Linked DNA regions of Macaca fascicularis. The protein of the gene in region 1 purifies or fractionates together with the protein of each later gene. This does not show direct contact. Links are inferred from orthologs where the notes say so. Each region holds a gene or a part of one and is shown on either strand. Other genes may lie near its edges. The genes, in order: MTMR9 and ATP5IF1.

Region 1 (3,816 bases):
TATTCTCCAGTGGCCTCTACCATCCTTTTCAGTATTCCAGGATTTAACTACTTGTTTCCAAAAACTACCCTACCAACTATATATCTGGAAATGTTTGCTTTTGAAACTTTTCTCAAGAAATCAGTGTCTACTATACTAATGTCTTCCCTGGTGAATGGTTTAGAGTTCTTTCAAGAGACCACCATTACAAGGTAGTTATCTTAACTCCTTGTTTAATCCTGACTCCAGTGTTTACTAGAGTTGTGACTAAATGACATGAGCATCACTCTTCTCGCCTTTGAAAATAAATACGTCTGCTCAATTCACCTTTCACATGGAAAGTTGGTAAGAAAAATTCAAGTCTTTTATCATTATTCTGCGCAGAGAAATTTCTCATTTTTCTACCAGAAGAATGTTGCTGTAAGCATCAAATAAACACTAGTTTCCTTTGTATAGTGTCCTGGAGATAAAGCTATCAGGGCTTTTATACGGCTGAGCAGGATCATGGGAAGAATTCAGCATCACATCCTCACCACAGAAAACACTCTACTCCTGATTCCCTAAAGCTTACACTAAGGAAGCCCTCGTGGTGGAGACCTGGACAATCATTTCAGTGAACAGACAGATAGAAAAAGGGAACATTTCTATGAAAAGATCCCCAAGCCAAGCCTTTCAGTACATCAAGCAGTAGTGCTGTGCACTTACCATCCCATTTTTTTTGTGATAATAGCTTAGTACTGGGAAGCGCCCTCCATGTCGAAATGTAGCTACCTTCCGAAGCGCTTCATCATCGATGGATTTGGGCACTGTGACAATTGGCGGGTAGGAGGGACAGACAGCAAATTCCTTATTGACATAGCTTAGCCTCCATTCACTGGTCTGAAAAACACAAAATACTTCAAAGCTAAGCAACTATCTCAATGTCACAAAATAATCTGAGAAATTTTAAAAGACCTTAGAGGTCAACTTTCACTGATGAAGAAGCCATTTCTCAGGAATTTAACAGGAGGATCTCTAGCTTATATATAAGTAGCTGCACAGAAAAGGAGCTCCACGGTTCAGGGCCAGCTTCCTGCATTCCTAGGTATCACCAGTTCCTAGAAAATTCTTTCTCATACTGAGCAAAACTTGTTGCTCTGTAGCTTCCTCTATTGGTTTTTACCGTACTTTCAGAAAACACAGGACAAGTTCCCTATTTCACACCGTATCCCATCAAATGTTTGAAAGACAGTTGTTTCTCCTTAGTGTTCTATTCTCCAAGTTAAGTATATTAAGCACATCCACAATTACCATGGCCAACGTCCCACTTCTTCCTTTTCTGGGTCCCATTTAGTTTGTTAATGATCCTCTAAAAGCACAAGTAAGACTGTAAGACTCCAGATAATGCATCCCCAGAACAGATGAGAACAGAGCTACTATCTACGTCAAGTCCTTTGTTCTTTTCTTGTAAAAAAGGTAAAAAATGTACTAAGATTGGTAAAACCTTTCTTAAAACAGTAACAACTCAATACTAAGGAAGGTTAAGCTTAGGAGTCAATGAAATAATTTCAAACTGAATACTCTAAGGACTAAAAGTATATAATATAAAACTATCAAATGACAACTTATTTGAAACACCAGAACTGAAAACACCTTGAAGACTGTCAAAAGGTTTTACAGTTAAAAAAAAAAAAAAAAAATCAAATTATATGTAAATTTCAATATGTTCTGTATATCTGAGTTGGCCTAACCATGGGTTACAAGAGCAGGAAGATAAAGCTAAAAAGTATGTTAGATGTACTATAGGACAAGATTATTACTTTAAAAAAATGATTTTATAAGATACAGTATCACATTTTTAATTATTTTTTTTCACTTTTCGAAGTTATTTATGTTACCAGTTTTAAAAACATAGTTTCTAGGCTGGGCACAGTGGTTCACACCTATAATCCCTGCACTTTGAGAGGCCAAGGCAGGCAAACTGCTTGAGTCCAGGAGTTCAAGACCAGCCACGGCAACATGGCCAAACCCTGTCTCCACTAAAAATGCAAAAATTAGCCAGGCACAGTGGCACGCGCTTTTAGTTCCAGCTACTTAGGATGCTGAGGTGAAAGAACACGTGAGCGCAGGAAGTCGAGGCTGCAGGGAGCTGTGATAGTGCCACTACACTCCAGCCTGGGCAACTAGAGTGAGATTCTGTTTCAAAAAATAATAAATTAATTAATTTTAAAAAACACAGTTTCTAAAGATTTATTATTTTTTTAAAAATGTAGTTATCTGTTCCTTGCTAGCCCATCCCAATTTGCTTTCCCCAAAGACAATCATTTTCAACATTTTTAGCTTTTTTGGTGTTTAGCTTTACATTTCTAAATAACACGATTATACTGTTATTTCTTGAATTTTCGCTATGATATCTTATTTATTGATTTCCTACTCTGGAGAATGACAGGGCTCTCCATTGATCTGCAATGCGGCTTCTGTCGGTCCCAATGTACTGTGCTCTCTATCCTGTCCCACTAGTCCACTTAAGTAACTCCTAGAGCTTTTACAATAAGTTTGGTATCTAGTAGGCTAAGTCTCCTCCTCTCACCTTTTTGTACTTCAAAGAGTAACTTGGCTCCTCTTGGTCTTTTGGTCTTCCACCAGGTAACTTTTATCAAATTCAATGTAAAAACCAACTGGGGTTTTTATTAAGATTGTATTGACTTTATAAATTGGAGGGAATGAGTTACATCTTCAGAATATTGTTTCTCTATCCATGAGTATATTATCTCTCCATTTATTTAAGCTTTTAAAAATTTTTCCATAAATTTTTATAATTCTCTCAATAAAAGTCTTACTATCTTTTCTTAGATATAGTCCTAGAAACCCTATAATCTTTGTTGCATTTTAACTGCATCTCTTTAAACTTGTGTTTGGTGTAGAGAAATGCCTATGATCTCAAGATTCTTTCCTTTTCCTATAAAGACAAGCATATAATCAATAAATAATGACAATTTTGCTTCCTTCATTTCAATCCCTATACCCTATATTTTTCCTTGTTGTCTTATTGAGCTGACTAGGAGTAGTGATAATGGACATCCTTGTCTCATTCTTGAACTTAGATAGAATGATACAAGATTTGTTTTTGTTGTGTTTTTGGTTTTGGTAGCCATCCTTTATCAGATCAAAGAAATTCCCTTCAAATCCAACTCTAAGAGCGTTTAGCATGAATAGATATTGATCAAATTTTTTTCCTCTGTTAATCTAACACCATGCAGGCAATTTGTCTTTTCTTTAATTTTGTGGTATTTTCTTTGCTTTATTGTTCAGTAGCTGAACAACAACACGTCTAAAGTTTTTTTATTATCTTGTATGGTATCTGCTGGCATACCTTAGCTTAAGGGTTCAGTAACTTTTACTGATTCTGGAGAGTTATCAACTATTATGTATTTGAATATTGTCTTTCTTCTATCATCATCAACTTTTTTTCCTTCTTCTTCTTTTTTTTTTTTTTTTTTGTAGACAGGGTCTTGCATCTTGCTCTCTCACCCAGGCTGGAGTACAGCAGCATGATCACTGCTCACTGCAACCTCAACCTCCTGGGCTCAAGCAATTCTCCCACCTCAGACCCCAAGTAACTGGGACCACAGGCATACGTCATCACACCTAGCTAAATTTTTTCATAGAGATGGGGTTTCGCCATGTTGCCTAGGCTGGTCTCAAACTCCTGAGCTCAAGTGACCTGCCTGCCTCAGCCTCCCAAAGTGCTAGGAATATAGGTGTCAGCCACCACACCCAGCCTCTATCATTTTTTATCCTAAACTCCCATGCGATAAATATTGGATCTTATTCCTTTATTACGCATGCATGTGTCTA
Region 2 (4,136 bases), on another chromosome or scaffold:
GAGACGGGGTTTCACCGTGTTAGCCAGGATGGTCTCGATCTCCTGAACTCGTGATCCGCCCGTCTCGGCCTCCCAAAGTGCTGGGATTACAGGCTTGAGCCACCGCGCCCGGCCACTGATGGTACTTTCAATTGTATTTTTTTTTTTTGAGACGGAGTCTCATTTTGTCACCCAGACTGGAGTGCAGTGGCACAGTCTCAGCTCACTGCAACCTACACCTCCCAGGTTCAACTGATTTTCCTGCCTCAGCCTCCTGAGTAGCTAGGACTATAGGTGCATGCCACCACACCTGGCTAATTTTTGTATTTTTAGTAGAGACGGGGTTTTACTATTTTGGCCAGGCTGGTCTTGAACTCCTGACCTCAGGTGATCCGCCCACCTTGGCCTCCCAAAGTGCTGGGATTACAGGCATGAGCCACCGCCCCTGGCCCAATTGTATCTTTTGAAGCAATGACTCCTTCGGATCTCCAGGCTCCTCCTGATCTTTATGCTTTAGATTGGGATTTATCCTTCAAGAAGCTTTCTCTGAACACCTCTAATTAGACTGGGGGGGTACCTTGTCTGTGTCACACCTATCCCCCCAACTCATGTTGTTTCATAGCACTTATCACACTGCGTTTCTGTGGGCTCCTGGATGCAGGGACCCCTCTAATCCATTTCAGCAGTCCATTAGTGTCTTTCCGTCTATCTCTTCCAGATAGAAGAAGGCATCAAACACAGTTCACTGATGACAATTTATTATCATCTGTTAGTAGCACACAGACAAATATTAATTAAACCAGAACCATGTCTACACAGAAGTGGGCAGTGACATGTGCCATTCTATGGGGAACTGTGTGCACTTAATCATCATGTTTTAGCGTTTTGATCTTCTGTTTATGCCGCTCAATTTCTTTCTGCAGACGCTCAATCTCCTTCTTATGATGAACGATTTCTTCTTCATGGTGTTTTTTCAAAGCTGCCAGTTGTTCTCTACTCTGTGCTCTACAAGGACACGGTGGCTCAGGGTTTAATTTCAATCCTTCACCCCAAAGAGATCTCTAAGCATAACCCGTAATGTCTAAGCAAGGAATAGGAGTCCCAGTTCCATGGGAGTCTGGCTGGTCATCCTCTTCTACTCCTCAACTAGTGAAAGAATAACCCATCTTAAATTGAGGTGTAGTCATCTTAAGAAGACCAAAATGATTTCACTGGTGCTAGTGGCTTAAATTCCATCATTAAGATCTTATTGCTTTCAGATTCCTCCTTAAAATAGAAAACTCCAGAGAGATGTGACACAAGTCCCTAATACCTTATGAGGGGAACAACCCAGGGAACCCCTTTAGGGGGGAAAAAAAAAAGGAACAAAATGGGGACAAAGGGGTGTGGTTAAAAGGCAAATATCCATTTCCTATTCCAATCTGTCTAGAGCTTTCTTTGCCTATAGAAATGAATGGCCCGCTGTAAGGCCAATAAAAGGTCTCCTGCATGGGCAGTATTTGGCAGTTCAATTTAGGTACCAAGAAGGGACTGGATTACAATGTTGGTTTGGCCACATTTAGGCCTCAGTTTTCCTTAACTACAAAATGAAGGGGATCAATTAGATAGTCTCTAACAGCAGTACCTTGGCTCTCTATACGGTATGGCAGGTGTCATGGTGATAATTCTCAACAGAAGGCAGAAGTGAAAGGCCAAAGGACAAGCAAAAGCAAGATTAATTCCTCACTGCTCTCCAGAGTGGACAGAAGTCAGTTAAAGATAACTCAGGGCTGGTAAAGGGAGGCCCAGCCCACTCCATACTTCTAAGCAGGAGCGGGAAATCCACAGATCTAGGCTGGGCTGAGTAGGGCAAAAGCCTTTAGGAGATGGTGTAGTCCAACCCTAAGTAGCTCCCATGACCAGCTCCCATGATCCTCACTCTTGCGGAGTCGGGGGTCTAGAAACACCTGAGAAGCCTGAATGCATGCAGGCTTGCAAAGCTAAGGCGTGCTGGGGAGGAAGGAGAGCGTAGAGGGGGTGACAGGTGGGTGAGGGCCGCGGGAGTCAGGCTGGGAGGCAAACGTTAGACGGTCGGATCTAGATACTGTGCGAAGAATCTGGGGGCGTTTCGCACCACCCGAGGAGAACTCCACGCGGGAGATGGTAATGATAAAGGAGGAGTTGAGCCGTGGGATGTTTTGGAGACCCGCCGGTAGAAATGGTTTGGGGGCCTGAAACTGTTGTGCAGGGAACTGGGAGTGCCCTGTAAGTGGCAACTTGGGACATCAAGGGTTAGGGTATACCAGATTGGGGCCCGGGAGTTCTGTTGGGGGATGGGGCGCCCAAGGCACCAAGGAAACGGGTGGGGCGACTGGCAGTTTAAGGATTGGAAGGCCCTGGGAGATCTAGGGCTGGACTTGGGACCCGGTGAGCCTCACCGGAAATATCGTTCCTCTTCAGCTTGCTCTCTCTTTCCGAAGGCCCCACCGGCTTCCCGGATGGAGCCCGCGCCCCGGTCGACATTCTCGGACTGCAGAGAGACAGGGACACTGATAAAAGTAGGGAAGCGAAGATGGGATCCGCCCTCGGGGCTGGAGCAGCGGACACTGCCGCAGCGTACCTGATCCGAGCCGAAGCCTCGGGCTTGCATGGTCCTCACGCCCCACACGCCAAGCCACGTCCGCGCCACCAACGCCGTTACTGCCATTGCTGCTGGAGCTGCACCTCTGGCGTCTCTGCCGCAGCAAGCTGTACCTCGTTACGCGCTAATGGCGCGGGGACGGCCAAGCACCCAATCTGGTCGACGGAGTGGCGGATGAACACAGGAGTAGCGAATCACGGGAGAGCGGAGGCGGGCTTCCCGGAGCTCACAGCGAATCCCGAGCAAGAGACGAGTTTATTCTTGGCCAACTAGCAAGGGCTCAGGGCCAAAGGACTGGAAAGAAGAATGATGGGGGAGTTTGGAGAGCTGGGTGAGGAGAGTGCTAGAAGCCGAAATTTCGGCTCTTGGACCCATCAGAATGAGGCGTGGCGTTCACCTCCAGCCCACGATTTCAACCCTAAAGTCGTTAATATTCAAAGCCCAAAGGAAGTTTTCCCTTCCCTGGCCTGCTACCATCAATAAAATGGGGGAATTTGGGGTTTGGGAGCTGTGTCCAGGATGCTGATGTCCGGGATACCGACGTCCAATGTGCTGCGGCTTAGATATACGTAAATCGCGTTCATTTGTTATGAGAAGTGCCAGTGTTCTGGCCGGGCGCGGTGGTTCACGCCTGTAATCCCAATACTTTGGGAGGCCGAGGTGGGTGGATCACCTGAGGTCCGCAGTTCGAGACCAGCCTGACCAACATGGGGAAACCCCGTCTCTACTTAAAAAAACAAGTATCAGCCGGGTGTGGTGGCATGCGCCTGTAATCGCAGCTACTCAGGAGGCTGAGACAGGAGAATCGGCCTGAACTCGGGAGGCGGAGGTTGCAGTGAGCCAAGATCCCGCCACCGCTGCACTCCAGCCTGGGCGACAGAGTGATATTGGTCTCAAAAAAACCCCCCAAAACAAAAAACTGGGCCGGGTGCGGTGGCTCACGCCTGTAATCCCAGCACTTTGGGAGGCCGAGGCGGTTGGATCACAAGGTGAAGTTCGAGACCAGCCTGGCCAATATAGTGAAACCCTGTCTCTACTAAAAAATACAAACATTAGCCAGGTGTGGTGGCACGTGCCTGTAGTCCCAGCTACTTGGGAGGCTGAGGCAGGAGAATCGCTGCAACCTGGGAGGCAGAGCTTGTAGTGAGCCGAGATCGTGCCACCACACTCCAGCCTGGGCAACAGAGTGAGACTCGGTCTCAAAAACGAAACAAAACAAAAAGCCCAAACAAACAAAACCCAAAAAACTGAATTTCCAGCCATGACAGTAAGGGAGGTCAGAAGCACATCTTGTTATGTCCCCTCCCTTTTAGTGTTTAAGCACAACAACTGACCAGCATTAATGTTGAAATAAAGAGCATAAGCTTAGCAAACTGCGCTCTTTGTGTAAATAAGGTACCAAATTATAAACAGGACTTAAGGCTATGTCATATGACAGTTAAGTCACACACCTTTAGAGGTCACTCCAACCCAATGTATTGGCTAACAGACTTCCTTGTCTTAAACATCTTAAACATTTCTTTCTGCTGACTCCAAT

The links.
Region 2: the proteins of MTMR9 (region 1) and ATP5IF1 purify together in Homo sapiens (affinity purification with mass spectrometry; 5 studies listed by BioGRID and IntAct, with this or other methods). This does not show direct contact. The link is inferred for Macaca fascicularis from reciprocal best matches to the Homo sapiens genes MTMR9 and ATP5IF1.

The regions. Positions count from the first base shown.
Region 1 is NC_088382.1:9,609,671-9,613,486, forward strand, and holds part of MTMR9 (myotubularin-related protein 9), read right to left. Parts: intron 859-3,816; coding exon 685-858; intron 1-684. UniProt on the Homo sapiens protein: Acts as an adapter for myotubularin-related phosphatases. Increases lipid phosphatase MTMR6 catalytic activity, specifically towards phosphatidylinositol 3,5-bisphosphate and MTMR6 binding affinity for phosphorylated phosphatidylinositols.
Region 2 is NC_088375.1:206,826,997-206,831,132, forward strand, and holds ATP5IF1 (ATPase inhibitor, mitochondrial), read right to left. Parts: upstream 2,696-4,136; 5' UTR 2,666-2,695; coding exon 2,579-2,665; intron 2,489-2,578; coding exon 2,397-2,488; intron 1,126-2,396; coding exon of another isoform or gene 1,122-1,125; exon of another isoform or gene 985-1,121; coding exon 843-984; 3' UTR 721-842; downstream 1-720.